Linked DNA regions of Pelodiscus sinensis. The protein of the gene in region 2 purifies or fractionates together with the protein of the main gene of each other region. This does not show direct contact. Links are inferred from orthologs where the notes say so. Each region holds a gene or a part of one and is shown on either strand. Other genes may lie near its edges.

Evidence for each region. The genes of interacting proteins can lie anywhere in the genome.
Region 1: the proteins of LSM1 (region 2) and PATL1 purify together in Homo sapiens (co-immunoprecipitation; 3 studies listed by BioGRID and IntAct, with this or other methods). This does not show direct contact. The link is inferred for Pelodiscus sinensis from reciprocal best matches to the Homo sapiens genes LSM1 and PATL1.

The regions. Positions count from the first base shown.
Region 1 is NC_134714.1:126,410,752-126,418,112, forward strand, and holds the start of PATL1 (protein PAT1 homolog 1), read left to right. Parts: upstream 1-4,346; 5' UTR 4,347-4,371; coding exon 4,372-4,491; intron 4,492-5,039; exon of another isoform or gene 5,040-6,090; coding exon of another isoform or gene 6,091-6,123; intron 6,124-6,175; exon of another isoform or gene 6,176-6,436; coding exon of another isoform or gene 6,437-6,505; intron 6,506-6,890; coding exon 6,891-7,002; intron 7,003-7,289; coding exon 7,290-7,361. UniProt on the Homo sapiens protein: RNA-binding protein involved in deadenylation-dependent decapping of mRNAs, leading to the degradation of mRNAs. Acts as a scaffold protein that connects deadenylation and decapping machinery.
Region 2 is NC_134738.1:15,375,927-15,382,910, reverse strand, and holds the start of LSM1 (U6 snRNA-associated Sm-like protein LSm1), read left to right. Parts: upstream 1-3,981; 5' UTR 3,982-4,092; coding exon 4,093-4,138; intron 4,139-5,306; coding exon 5,307-5,375; intron 5,376-6,984. UniProt on the Homo sapiens protein: Plays a role in the degradation of histone mRNAs, the only eukaryotic mRNAs that are not polyadenylated. Probably also part of an LSm subunits-containing complex involved in the general process of mRNA degradation.

The DNA of each region.
Region 1 (7,361 bases), on a different chromosome or scaffold from region 2:
ATTAAAACTGACCCTGTCCTACAAAAAGTTTCTTTTTGATGAACTGGCATTTTCTGGCCAAAAAAAAAAAAAGAGTTTTGTAAACACATTCCTAGCCGTTTCTGTGCTTCCCCTGCTGGTATCCCAAAACATAGAATCACAGAGTTTAAGGCTAAAAGGGACCATCCAATTGTTTGGTCTGACCCTCTGTATATCACAGGCCACCAACACCACCCAGCATCCACACACTAAATCTAATAACCAAATCAGACCAAAGTATTAGAGTCTACAGCAGACTAGACTATTATGTGCCACAGGCAGAGAACAGGACAGACTGAGGTGCACTGGTGCCTGAGACTCCAGCAATGGCAGGGAAATGAGTAGGTGAGATATACCCAGATACTTCTGGCAAGTGTCCCGCATCCACATGCTGCAGAGGAAAGTGAATCCCACCCAATTCCTTCCTGACCCCACATATAGCTATCAGTCCAGGGGTGGGAACCTTTTTTGGGCTGGGGGCCGCTGACCCACAGAAAAATCCATTGGGGGCTGCACACAGATGAGAAACAAAAATACCACTCACTAACGTTCTCCTGACTAAGAAGGAGAAAGACACTCCCCACAGTCTCCCTCACACATCAGAGCAGTGGTCCCCAACCATTTGAAGCTGCCGGGCGCCAGAAGGCGTGGCCGTTCGCCTGTCGGGCGCCAGAGGGCGGGGACACTCGCGCACCTGGGGGTGGGGCCGCGCATACGCCACACCCTCATGAGCCATGTGCCTGGGGCCAGCAACCCTATGCGCCACGTGGCCAAGGGCGGGAGGGCCGCCCATTCACAGCAAGCCTGGTGCCAGCATCCTCCAGAGCTACACGCCCAAAGCTGGCACTCCTTCCCCCATAGCTGCGTGCCCGGGGGCGGGGTGGCCAATTCGCCGCGCTCCCAGGGCCAGCGCCCCCCATAGCCGCACGCCCGGGGCCGGCGCCCTCCATAGCCATGCACCCGGAGGTGGGGCGGCCAATTCGCTGTGCGCCCGGGGGCCAGAGCACCCAATTCGCCACGTGCCCGGGGCCAGCTCCGGCACTGCACATGCGCCATGCGCCCGGGGTGGGGCCAGCCCCGAGCACTTGGTGGGCACAAACAAATGCCCCCGCGGGCGCCATGGCACCCACGGGCACTGTGATGGGGATCACTGCATCAGAGTCTAGGGAAGTCCAGGCTAGTAGATTTTGTGTGCTCCAGGGCAACAGGGGGAGGGGGAGAGAGCTGGAGCTGTAATGTACATGTAACCCACCCTCACCCATTTTGCCTAGTGCTCTGTCCCTGCTAAAGGTGGCTGGACCACAAAATAGAGGCTGATTTGACTGCTTTAGCCCTGGCTAACAGAGAGTCTCAGGAGCTGGATCCAGACAAGCCAAGACATCCAGACATTCAGCCCTCGAGCCTCAGGTTCCCCACCCCTGAATTTGACCCTGAACAGAAAATGCCCTTCCACTGAGCATCTATGCAATAGGTATTCACTGGGCCCAGAAAATGCCCATGCCCAGGGCACAGTTACATAGTGGCTGCAGGAACATCCCAGAAGAAGCTTGATTTCTTCCTGCCAGCATGTGAGACTCCGGAAAGAAAACTGGCTGTGCATGCAGAAGTGAAACTGACTGAGCACAAAGTATCTGTTTCATTTTCACTTTCTTTCCACCTCAGTCTCTTGGAGCATTGATCTGCAAGCCAAAGAACATCAGACAGCAGCTGGTCTGATGTTCCCACAGTAATGTACATGTAACCCACTCTCACTCATTCTGACTAGTGCTCTGTCCCTGCTAGAGGTGGCTGGACCACAAAATAGAGACTGATTTGCTTGCTTCAGCTGTAACTAACGGAGTTGTCCCTAGACTGGAACATCTTATGCCTTAACATCCAAAGGCCTCTGGGTCAATCCCTGCTGTTGACAACATACTTGCATTCCACAAAGAATGAATCATAATTAACAACATCCACTTCCACAACTGTTTTCTTAGTTATCCAGGTACCCTTCCTAAAACAGAGTCCTACTATTTGTTAGACCAGGGCACTGGAACTCAGGAACCTGGCATTCTATTCTCACCTTTGCTGAAATCCTTAACTGTAGTGCCTCGATTTCCCCAAATGAAACATGAGGGTAATAATAACGATGCACCCACTATTTTGAAAAATACTTTGAACATCTATGTATATAATACGTTGATTATGAATTGTAATCATTACTATTATTAAGTTATAATAATAATAATTATTAGTATCTTCCTGATTATGTGCTTGGTATGGCTGGAGGGTGAATAAAAAGGGTAAAGCAGAAAGAGAGTGAATGATAAAAACATGAATTTTGTTATGTTATTTGTATAGCACGAATAGCATGCATAGCACTGTATAGACAGGAATAGAGAGCAGGTCCTTCTCCTTGAAAGCTGACAATCTAAGCAGTCAATGTACAGATAGAGAGAAAAGGCCATAACAAAAGCCATGTACGTGGGTGGGGAGGTCTAGCATGTGCCATCAGGATACCATGACTTAAGAGGGATGGGGGCTGGTAGAGATTTTCTTCAAGGTCAGAATCTGTGCCTTTTACGCAGTGTCACCAAACCCAGGCATGCAAAAATCATGAGTCAGGTGCCCACAAATTCATGAGCTGGCACTAAGAAAAGCAGGAATTTCAGCAAAGACACCAGAAATGAAATTATGTTGGTCCTGGACACAGAGACACAGGACTTGGCTGTAAATTGGTGCTTGAAGTGGTAGGCAAAACAACTAAAAAAAGGGGGGGGTCATCACCCCCTTATCTGCCCTTCCTCTCTCCAGCAATTAGTTCTGCTCCCCCATCCCCAAACCAGTTCTATCCCCCTTAGTTTCACAAACACACCATCAATTTTGCCTTCACTGTTCTGTCCCCAGCCTCACTGTTCCCTCCTGATGGGAAGGAGAGCGCCGCTTGTCTTCTGTAGCTGCTCTGATTGGCTGCTCTTCCCCAGGAGGCAAATAAGTGAGGAAAGCCGCCAGTCAAGAAGGGTTTCTCCCCACTGATGTGGCAGGACTGAAACATGCACTGATCTCTGAACTTTTACCGTTTGGCTCCATGCCCCAGGGCACTTTACTGACTGGCTGTAATGGATAGAAAGGGGATTCCTGCCTGAGGCTGTTTGACACAGATTGGCTTCACTCTGCTCTTCCAGACCCCAGACTAACAGCCCGTAATGTCTAGTGTCATCAAACAGACTTAGCCTGGGGTAGGCAATGGTAGGAGGAATTGAAGAGATAGAAAGATAGAGTGTATGAGGATATCTAGATGGAGTGTATGGGGATAGATAGATAGATAGATAGATAGATAGATAGATAGATAGATAGATAGATAGATAGATAGATAGATAGATAGAGTGAATGTGTGGGGATAGATGAGAGAGAGAGTGAAAGATGTAGGGTGTGTAGGGGATGGGGGAAGGGAGGAAGCAGCCTAAGGTTTGCTTACTTCCCAAGGGGCACAATGCAGAAGCACGAGGAGCAGGAAGAAGATCCCTGAAGCTGTGTTTGAAGGGGGACTTGCAGGAGGCGGGGGTCACGCAGGACTGGGGCCCCCAAAGAGCAGCAGGACGAAGCAGCCTGGGGGTGGGTAACTGAGCAAAGAGCATGAGGCTGCCCAGGCTGCAGCAGAAGCAGCCGGGGAGTGTGGCACAGGCGGGGCGGTGGCCCCCGTGTGCGAGGCCTCCTGGCAGTGCCTCGTGCGGATCCCGGGGCCCTGGCGGGGCGGCTCGGCCTTTCGGGCAGCAGGGCTCTGGTGCCCCATTGGGTGTGTGGGGGCTGTTGAGGCTGCCCAGCGCTGGGGCAAATCAGTGAGGGTGTAAAGAGGGGCCTGCCACTAGGGAGACCTCCCCCAGCCTTCAGTGCTCTGGTCAAAGGAAAAGGAAAGAGACGCTGTCCCTTTAAGAGGCCACAGGCAGAGAAAGGGACACTGGCCCTTTAAGAGGCCACAGGCAGGGAAAGGGACACTGGCCCTTTAAGAGGCCACAGGCAGGGAAAGGGACACTGGCCTTTAAGAGGCCAAAGGCAGGGAAAGAGACACTGGCCCTTTAAGAGGCCACAGGCAGGGAAAGGGACACTGGCCCTTTAAGAGGCCACAGGCAGGGAAAGAGTCTCTGCCCCTTTAAGAGGCCACAGGCAGGGAAAGAGTCTCTGCCCCTTTAAGAGGCCACAGGCAGGGAAGGGACACTGGCCCTTTAAGAGGCCACAGGCAGGGAAAGGGACACTGGCCCTTTAAGAGTGGCCCCAGGCGCTGTTTCTTTAACAGCAGGAGCAGGGCCGCTAGACGTAGTGCGCCTGCGTACCGACAGGAAAGGCCGGGGAGGGTTGCGCGATGACGTCATAATCATGTGTCCTGACGGCGACGCATGCGTAGCGAGGGGCGGGGGTTCGGAGCCGGAGCGGGGTCCGCGCGGAGCCTCCCTGGCGGTGGGAGTCTCCGCGCCGCTCACCATGTTCCGCTACCAGGTGAGGGGCTGCCCCGGGCACCGCCCACCCCGCCTGCGACCTTTGACCTCTGACCTCCGCCCCTGCGCTACTTCTCCCCCGTCCCCCCCCCCCCGCTCGGAGCCCCAACTTCCTCCTCGGTCACGGGGCGGGGCTGGCGGGAACGGCTGGGGGGTGCCAAAGGGGCACGGCCGGGGGGGGGCGTGGGCCAGAGGAGCACGGGCTGGCGGGTGTTATGGGCTGGGGGGGGCTAGCCCTGGGGGGGGTGCAGGAGGGGCACGAGCTGGAGGGTCATGGGCTGGCAGGCTAGGTCTGGGGCGGGATTGCAGGGGAGTCTGAGGGGCACGTGTGTCTGGGGGGTGGGGCGTGGCTGGGGAGGCTTGGGTATTTTGGACATTGTTGGCGGGAGCTGTGGGGTGGGGTTGGGGCTGGAGGACGCAGTTCTGAGAGGTGGGGGGGTGGGTCAGGGATTGTGTCTGGAGGGGCATAGGATTCTGGGTGGGTACAGGCAGGGGGTGTTGACTGGGAGGCCTGGCTTGTGGGTGTGTTGGGCTGCTGGGGGAGGTCTGTGGGAGGTACCTTTGGGGAAGCATGAGCTAGAGGGCCTCTGTAGGGAGTGGTGTGATTTGGGGAGGGGTCTCAGTTGTGTGGATGTTGGGCCACGGTCCAGGAGGGCCCTCTGTTGCAGGGTGCATGGTCGGGTACAAGCCAGTGTGGCGGGGGCACACATGGCGCAGATACTGTGGCCTGGAGTAGGGGGCTCTGAGGGTGATTCTACAGGGTGTGGGCTGGGTCGTCCTTCAGAAGGAGGTAGCATGACCGATAGGCTAAAGCTGCCTCTTTGAGGTGGGAATGCAGAATGTGGGCTGGGGTCAAGGTGACTGAGGGGGCTGCATGGGCCATAGTATGTACCTTTCTTAGGATGTGCGATATGAAGGGTGCATGTCTTTTGGAGCAGGAACTATTGGGGTACAGGCCTGGGGCTGCTCTTTTGAGTCTGATGTACATGGGGGGGTATGTGCATCTGAGTTAGATTCTGGTTATGGGATCAGGAGGTGGCACAGAGAGATGCCCGGGGATGTTGGCCAATCAGGTTAGATTTGCTGATACAGGTTGAACCTCTCTAGTCTGGCACCACTGGTGCTGAACCAGAGAATTTGCCAAACATGGGAGGTCAATATTGTTAAGCAGCATCGCCAACACTTCCACTACTTACTGGGATCTTAGAAGACATTTAGGGGTAAATTAGAGCTGAATCAGAGCACTGAGAGCCAAGAATGATGGCTGTAAGCAAACTTTATGGGACCATGGGAAACTTGGTCAGACCTAGGATAGGGGACTAACTAAAATCATATTGGACCACAATTTTTGCCAGATGAAAGAGGTTCAGCCTGTAAGCTGATCCTAGTCTGTCTGCTGTGTTAACTGAAAAGTTGTGTGCTTTTAGGTGATGGGACTCAGAAAGTGAACAGTTTGAGGGAGAACCTAATTGAGTGGTGGGTATGGCGTAGCGCGTGCTTGCTGGCCACTATGTTTTTGTGAACTGAGGCTAGGAGCACACTTGTTTCTTACCCAGCTGGCTTGGGTCAGAGAAGGCATTTGAGTGGACACTCTTGGTCCATGCTGGGAGGCAAGGATACATGTGTCTTACATGTAAGTTATGTTTGTTGTATGGTGTATGTCAGGTACCATGTTTCAGGGTGTGCATGGGAGGAATATGGGGCATGCTTGGTCTTGGTAGGAGAGTATTCTTTGTATTTCTCTGGCTCCTGTCACACTCACAATCTTTAGCATATTTATCATTGTAGCACCTGTGTAAGGCAGGGCTGTGCTATTTTCTCTTTGTACAGATGGTGAACAGGAGCCCCAAGAGACTTAGTGACTTGCTTGAAATGTCACAGTGGCAGAGCAGGGAAATTGATCCCAAACTGGACCCCGTAACCGCTGGACTTCCCTCCTTCCCCTCATGCTGTCTGGGGAGGTGTGCTTGAAATGGGATGTTTATCTGTGGGGTGGCATTCTTTGTAAGGAGGGGGTGAGTGAGAGAGAGAGGAGAATTATGTCTTTCCTGTGGGATGCACTTAGTCCATGATTGGGCAGAAGTACCTTGTTTGATGGTCGTGGGTGCCCTGTGGGTGGGTGTTTTGGGACACGCTTGCTGGGGAGTAACGTGCCTTGTCTGAGGAGTTGTGTTTAGTGTGTGCTGGAGGTGATGACTCTTTTTCTGCTGAAGGGCCACGCTTGGGATGTGCTGATATAGAGAAATGAGACCATCTCCACAGAATGGTTCAGACAGGCTCAGAGCCCTAGCTTTGGACACGAGGTGACTGAGGGAAGCCCACTTCGGTGATGCTGAATGGGCATGTCAAACTGACTTTTCTGGAAGCCGGTTCATTGTTCTTTCTTTGCTCTTTTCCAAGTCCCTGGAGGACTGTCCTCCGGATGAGGATGAAGATGCTTTTCAGACCCTGGGTGAGGAGGATGAAGATATCGACCAGTTCAATGATGACACGTTTGGAGCTGGTGCTATTGGTGATTGCTGCATTTCCCATTTACTGCCTCATCTCTGTTCCTAACTCTACTTCAGGGGAATGCCATAGCTGGCTGGAGATCTTCTTAGTCCTGCCCTTAGCCACTCCCACTCCTGCAGCTCCAGTCGTGGGTTGCTCCACCTAAAGCTCTGCTGATGTCCCTCAGTCTGACCTGTAGCATTTCCACACTATTCCAGTCCATTGGTGCCCGGGAGGTATAATTGGCTGCAGCATAAATGAGTGGTACTGAGGTGCCAGCCCTGCTTCCTTTCTGTGGTTCCCTTGCAGATGATGACTGGCAGGAGGCACATGAGCGGCTTGCAGAACTGGAAGACAAGCCTGCAACAGCTAGAGAGCTGG
Region 2 (6,984 bases):
ATCAAGTCCAGTCCCCTGCCCTCATGGCAGAACCAAGCACCGTCTAGATCATGCCTAAAAGGGCAAAGGAACCACGCTCTTGGGGATATTGCCTACATGGGATTCCTGGGTCCTTCCTTTTCAAGGGAAACCAGCCCTTTCGTACTGGGGTATTGGCTTGAACCTCTGCCCCAACAAAACAAACCTTTCAGTTTCAAAAGAAACAAGAGGCCCTTCTACCGTACCTGGCTCTGTAACTCAGGTCCAGCTGGGTATTGACTTGGATAGGGAGCTCTAGACTGCACCGCTGAGTTCCAGTAGTTGGACCCATATCCCGGATAAGGAGGCTGTTCCTAAGGAAAATAAAGCAGCTCATTTTCTCATCGCAACAGTCATGGTTCCAGGGCCCCTGTATTCCTCCCCTCCGGACCAGCAAGGGCGGCTACTCTCAGATTTCTGCTCCCCAGCCATCACCTCTCCTAGCAGAGACACGTCTCTCTCCTTCCTGACTGGGGTACTTCCAGGCTGCACAGATCCTTGTCTGCACTTTGATTGCCCCAGCTGAAGTGGCCGCACAGCTCTAAGCAAGCAGGTTTCAATCTCATGATAAAAATCATTGCAGAGAAAAGCGAGAACAACAACAGACTGACACCCACGGTAATAAGCTCACCAGAGATGCTTCCCGAACTCCAACAAGGCTTCTGACAGGTTACCAGACCCTCCAAGCCCAACACCGGAGTGTTTTTGTGGCCACAAGTTCATACCAGCTTTCGCTCAGAACAAGCACTTCCCCACCCCACACATCGGGGAATCCGGGTCTGTCTACACTGTGCAGCTTTTAGCAACAAGGCCCTGTCGCTACACAGCTATGAGAGAGAACACTGGTTTTCGGCAGTTTGCTGACAAAATGCTCCTTCCCCCCACTGAACAGGCTTTGTTTTGTCAGCAGGAAAGCGCGTGCACTCCCCCCCCCCGCCCCGCACACACATTGCTTTTGCCTTTGTTATAGTCAAGCTTATCGGAGGCCTTTCATTGCGAGAGGGGGCTGCTAGCAGCCCGGATCTGCCTGTTAGGAATGCATGTGGATCACTGGCAAACCTTGCTCTGAGCTGTACATGTACACAGCCACCGCTGCAATCCTCATCTCCAAGAACCAGGCTGTGCTCAGGCCAGGTGGATCAGACCATTATCTTACTACACCAACAGAGTGAGGAACCTGTTACTGATGCACCATCTTCAGCACGGCGCTGTCATCCACTGCCCTCTGGCGCCAGGGGGGCTGAAATTGCTTTACTACACAAATGAGCCTCACACTTCCCCTGGGAAGTTACTCCTCCAATTGTACGGGATATAAGGAGCTCACCAAGCTGCCTTGTGGGGGGTCTGTACAGAGAAAGGAATGGAGAGACACAGCCCCTTTCTAACAGCATGGTTTAAACACGTCTCCACTCTCAGCAGACCTCTCATGGCTTACAGGAAGACAAGCTTCAAGCTCGGGATCCCCACCTCGCAGACTAGAACGGGGTGATGGCAACATGTCATTTCAGGAGTTGGATGCTCTGGGTAATTTCACTTTTGACCCTGAATATAACTCTGAGTGTTCTTAACCTTAAAGTAGACGAATTAACTTTTGGAGTCCCACAAGTAGCATTAACTCTAGAAACCACCATTTGATCCACTGGGCCCATGCCGCTTTGGATATGAGAATGCAGGCCTCTGGTTTTCTGATATCTCTTTTCTTTTTCTTCTACAGTTTTTCCCAAGTCTTATAACCAGTAAGTTACTAGACCCCACTACCCAGCTAACTCTACTGCACCTGCCACATGGGTGATGCTTATCAGTTCTGGTTAACTGGTGGGGGCTAGAGCTTCAGCCCAGCCAGAACAGCCCCGTCTATGGCAGGCTCAGGTGCACCACCTGCAGGGGTGCTCCAGCCTCTGTCCGCAGCAGGCCCCGACTGCGGTGGAGAGGCTGCTCCAGCCCAGCTGTGGGTTAAACATTACATTTAACCAGTTAACCAATTCAATAGGATTTGACATCCCTAATTCTGAGAAGATACTTGGCTACCACTACAACGATGTCTAGACCCACATTCACCTGCAAAAAGGACCAAACATATATACAACCACAGTACCGCTTTGCCTCGAACGGCACAAGAAAATGGGTTCCCTGAGGGAGGAGGTTGGGGGGTGTTAGTGCAGAGATTGTAAAGAGCCCATGGTTTGTATTCATGTACCCTCCCTGCCCCATGGGATGAAAAGAGGCAGCATTAGAGCTAGCAAAAGATTAGACAATGTCTAATAATAAAAAACGTGAAGAGAATTCATAGCAAGACCTGTTGCAGTGCTGTGGGGGAAGAGACTGCCTGCACAGACTGCTGTATGTGAAACATAACACACTCTGTAAAAGACCTGAAAGGGTATTTTCAAATCTTCACACCCAATGCAATTCCAAGCCTTTTCCAAGCTTCTCCCCTGTCCAGGCTAGCTGCCAGAATCAAAACCTCCTCCCTCTCCAGATGCTGAGGTGGCACAGAATCACTTTCCAGTAGTGGTTAGAAGAATAATACTCTCATACAGCAGGCTCAAGCCTCTTTGTTAGTGCACCAGTGGGACTGTGTCAAGGCAGCCTTAAGGGCGAGGTGATGCAGAGTTGGCTTCTGATCACAGTAATAACAAGAGAAATGCTAAATCAATTAAACAGAGCAAAGATTCAGGAACAAAGGAGCGATTTAGCTTAACTGCATCTCAGAGCAGCCACCTCTTCCACACCAGGATAGCGACAGACCATAACACCCAAGGCATCTGCATCACTGTTCCCTATAAGCCGAGCGCTTGGGCAGTCACCCGGGAGAGATACCGCCCAGCTGATTTAGCAGAGCACTCATAGCTGGCAGCAAGTGTTTTGACTGGTGGTGCACATCTGCACATGCCTCAGTGCATGTAACAAAATTTACAAGGCACATGGATGGAAAAAATTACAGGGAACATGCACCCTGGAACCGCAGTTTCCTTCCCCAGCTCCCGTCAGGTGTGTTCATAAGGGAGCCCCCACCTCAGGCTCCGCAGCAGGTCAAAGCCCACGGATTTCACTCCATCTCCCCCCACCCAGATTAGGACCAGCCCCTCATCGATTCTGCCCATGCACCACCGGGGCACAACCCTCCCCCATCTCACTCCCGCCAGGGCAGGACCCTCCCCAACAAACTCCAGCCCCCCTCCCCAGAGACAAGCCCCGCCCCCTTTTCACACCCCTCCGGCAGGACCCTCCCCAACTCACTCCAGCCCCTCCCCCCAGGGACAAGCCCCGCCCCTTCTCACCCCCCCCGGGCAGGCTCCTCCCCCCAGAGACAAGCCCCGCCCCCTCTCACCCCTCCCCCCCGGGCAGGACCCTCCCTAACAAACTCCAGCCCCGCCCCCCAGGGACAAGCCCCGCCCCTTCTCGCCCCCGGGCAGGCTCCTCCCCCCAGGGACAAGCCCCGCCCCCCGTTACCTGAGGGCCGCCCCGCCCGGGCCTGTCCCAGGCGCCCCCCGCCGCGGGGCTGTAGCCGCCCCCGGCCCAGCTCGGCCCGGCGCCGCGGTGCTGCGGGCAGGCCCAGGGGCCCGGGGGCGGCTCCGGCTCCGGCCCGTGGAGCAGCCGCCGCAGGGCAGACATTCCCAGCGCCGCTCCGGGCTGCCAGCCGCCCCGCCGCGCCTGCGCGGAACCCGCCAATCCCCGGCCGCGACACAGCCCCCCGCCCCATCGTGACCAGCTCCGCCAATCGCCACGGGGGGCCCAGGCCAATCGCCTCAGCCAATCCCTGGCAGGGTCCCGCCCCTGCCGAGCGCATCGGCCAATCAGACCTAGGGTTCCACATTCTAAGGAGGTCAACACAAACGTACCCAATCAGCGTCAACTTTCTTCCCCTCAGCCCCCGGTTCACCAATCGGAGAAGGGCACACAAGGCCCGGGTCTTAAAGAGACAGGCACAAAGCGCCCCTTCGCCAGCGCTGCCTGCCGCCAGCGAGCAGTGAGGGGGCGGGGCTATTTCTGCCCCGCCCACCGCTGGGCGGGTCCATCCGGGGCCGATGGCGGCGCTTCCGCTGCGTGAGGGGGCGGCGGGCGCGGGGCAGGATGAACTACATGCCGGGCACGGCCAGCCTCATCCAGGACATCGACAGTGAGTCCGCCCCGCCCCCCCGGGCCCCCCCCCCCTCGGGCCCCCGCCCCCTCGGACCCCCCCTCGGCCCCCCCGCCGGGCCCCGCCCCCTCCTCGGGCCCCCCGGGCCCCGGGCCCCCCTCGGCTCCCCCGCCGGGCCCCGCCCCCTCCTCGGGCCCCCGCCCCCCCGGACCCCCCCTCGGCCCCCCCGCCGGGCCCCGCCCCCTCCTCGGGCCCCCGCCCCCCCGGACCCCCCCTCGGCTCCCCCGCCGGGCCCCGCCCCCTCCTCGGGCCCCCGCCCCCCCGGACCCCCCCTCGGCCCCCCCGCCGGGCCCCGCCCCCTCCTCGGGCCCCCGGGCCCCCCCCGCCGGGCCCCGCCCCCTCCTCGGGCCCCCGCCCCCTCGGACCCCCCCTCGGCCCCCCCGCCGGGCCCCGCCGGGCCCCGCCCTCTCCCCCTCCTCGGCCCCCCTCCTGGCCCCGCCCCCTCACTCTCTCGGTCTCGGCCCCGCCCCCTCCCAGCCTCCCCCGCCGGGCCCCGCCCCCTCCTTGGCCCACGGCTCCCACTGGGCTTCTGGCCCCCACTTTCCCGGCGGCCCCCTTCTCCTCAGCCCCCTTCCACTGGGCTCCGTGAGCCCCCCCTCCCGACTCCCGCGCAGGTCCTGCCGCTTCCTCGGCCCCGTTCCCGCACCCCTCTCCCCACTGGTGCGGGGAAAAAATTGGTTGAGCAAAAACAATTTTAAAAAAGGCACCAAAAAGGAGCGACTGCGCCTTTCAATCCCCTCCGCCCCCACCAGGCATGGCAGGGGGAGAATGAAGCATGTCCCCAGCGGCCTTCCCGCCGAGAACATGTTCCCTATTTTCTGGTTGTTTTTTTTTAACAAAACAGAAGCCGCAAATACCGGACTGTCTGGGCCGATCCTGGACACCTGGCAACCCTAGCCCTGGGGCCACACCAGCCTGGGCCCTGCCACCCCTCCCTGTCGGGGTGCAGCCGTGGGCCCGCACAGACTGTTCCCATAGCAATGTCGGCAGGCCCCATGTCTGACCCTTCCTCAGGCTGAGCCTGGCCACTTCCCCCCAGTCCTGGCTCTGGGGACCTACCCTGCCCCAAAACGGAAGGTTGGATCCATTTTGGCCAGTGGGGATCATGCGGTGTGTCCGGCGGGTGCTGATTTAATATCTCTTCCAGAAAAACACTTGGTCCTCCTTCGAGATGGTAGAACACTAATAGGATATTTACGGAGCATCGATCAGTTTGGTACGTGAGCAAGTGGCCTCGTTCTTAGTCTAAACCGTCTCTGCCTCATGCATAGAACCCTGCAAATCCACAGTTATTGGCTTTATATCCATGCGTATCTGCATCTGCAAATATCCACTGCTCAGTGTTATGGATTTGGATGCAAACTTTGTATCTGGACCCCTACAAATCTGTAGATGTCCACTTTATATTTGCAGGTGTCCACATCCATGGATCATATTTTTAGATGCAGCTACCATAAATCCACTGTTTATAGTTCTTCAGCAGACAGTGCTGAAAGCTGCTGTTCCATGGGTAATGCATGTGTGTCACAAGCCTTTGGCCTGAGGCAAATAGAAGTCATCTTGGAAAAGTTACAGTTGCCGAAGCCAGTCCCTGAGGTGAGGACAGGTTATTGCTAGTAATCAGCGTTGGTCTCCATGGTGCTGCTGCTTGGAGGTATTTGCTGACAGATGTTACAGTGGCTGCTGTTCTCAATGCTGGAGAGGGGCAAAGGAGGCTATTTCATTGTGTGTTTGACTTTTAATTCTCCCTCTCTGCTCAGACATTCCCTAGCCCCCTTTTGGTATGTTCCACTCCCCTTCTTGATTGCAAAGACCTTTGCACGTCAGAACTCAATAGCTCTGGAAAGGCTTCTCGTTTCAAAATCGGTGAAAATGTTTTATCATTTTAAACCAGGGGTCGGCAATCTTTTCAAACCGAAGAGCCAAACGACATCAACACTCAGAACAAGCGGCCAACAAAGAGCCGCATCACAATGCCTGTCTACCTGACTGAAAATATTCGACTTCATGATACTGATAATTGACATGAGGCTCAATCAGAGCATAAATGAAACCTCGTACTCCCAGACTTATTCAATGGGGTTTCTGCTGCTGCGTCTTTTCGCACATTTCTTTGATGTTTACATCACAACTGGTCACGTTCAGGTTCATGCCGCATTCAAGCTACACGAGTCACGGCGCATTTTTAAAATTTTGAATTCATTTTTCATTTTAATGTGAAAAGTGGCATGTGTTTTGGGACTGACACGAGCCGGATTTGGTTCCATGCTGAGCCAGATTTGGCTTGAGAGCCACAGGTTGCAGACCCCTGGTTTAAAGACCTTGACTCACCCCTAGGGGGAGCCAGGCACCTCCCAAACAGTGCTCTGAGAGCCGAGAGGAGCTGAGTGGATGGCCAGTTTGGCTGGAACAGACTAATGCAGCCACCTCTCTGAAACCTGTCAGTCTGCATGACGCTGGTGAAAACAGAGCAGAGTAGGTGCTGCAGTGCGGGACGGTGACTCGGGGCGGGGGGGAGGCACGTGGCAGAGATCTTACACCATGCACATCCCTGCTTTGCCCAGCTGTGAGTCGAGATCTCTTCACGCTGCCCCTCCCTCTGGGTCCAGCCCTGGCAGAGAGAATCGCCAGGTGTGCTGCAGCTGCAGTGGCTCCTAGTATGAAACTCTCGGGGGTGGGAGGCAAGGCAGTCTCTGGAAGGCTGCAGGTGCAGCCCGTGGAGATCAAGATGAGTCTGTCTCCTCCCTGCAGGGATGCAGGGCAAGCCCCCCTTTGACCCAGCCATGCCAAAGCCCCATGCAGACACTGCGCTGCTGGGAAGATTA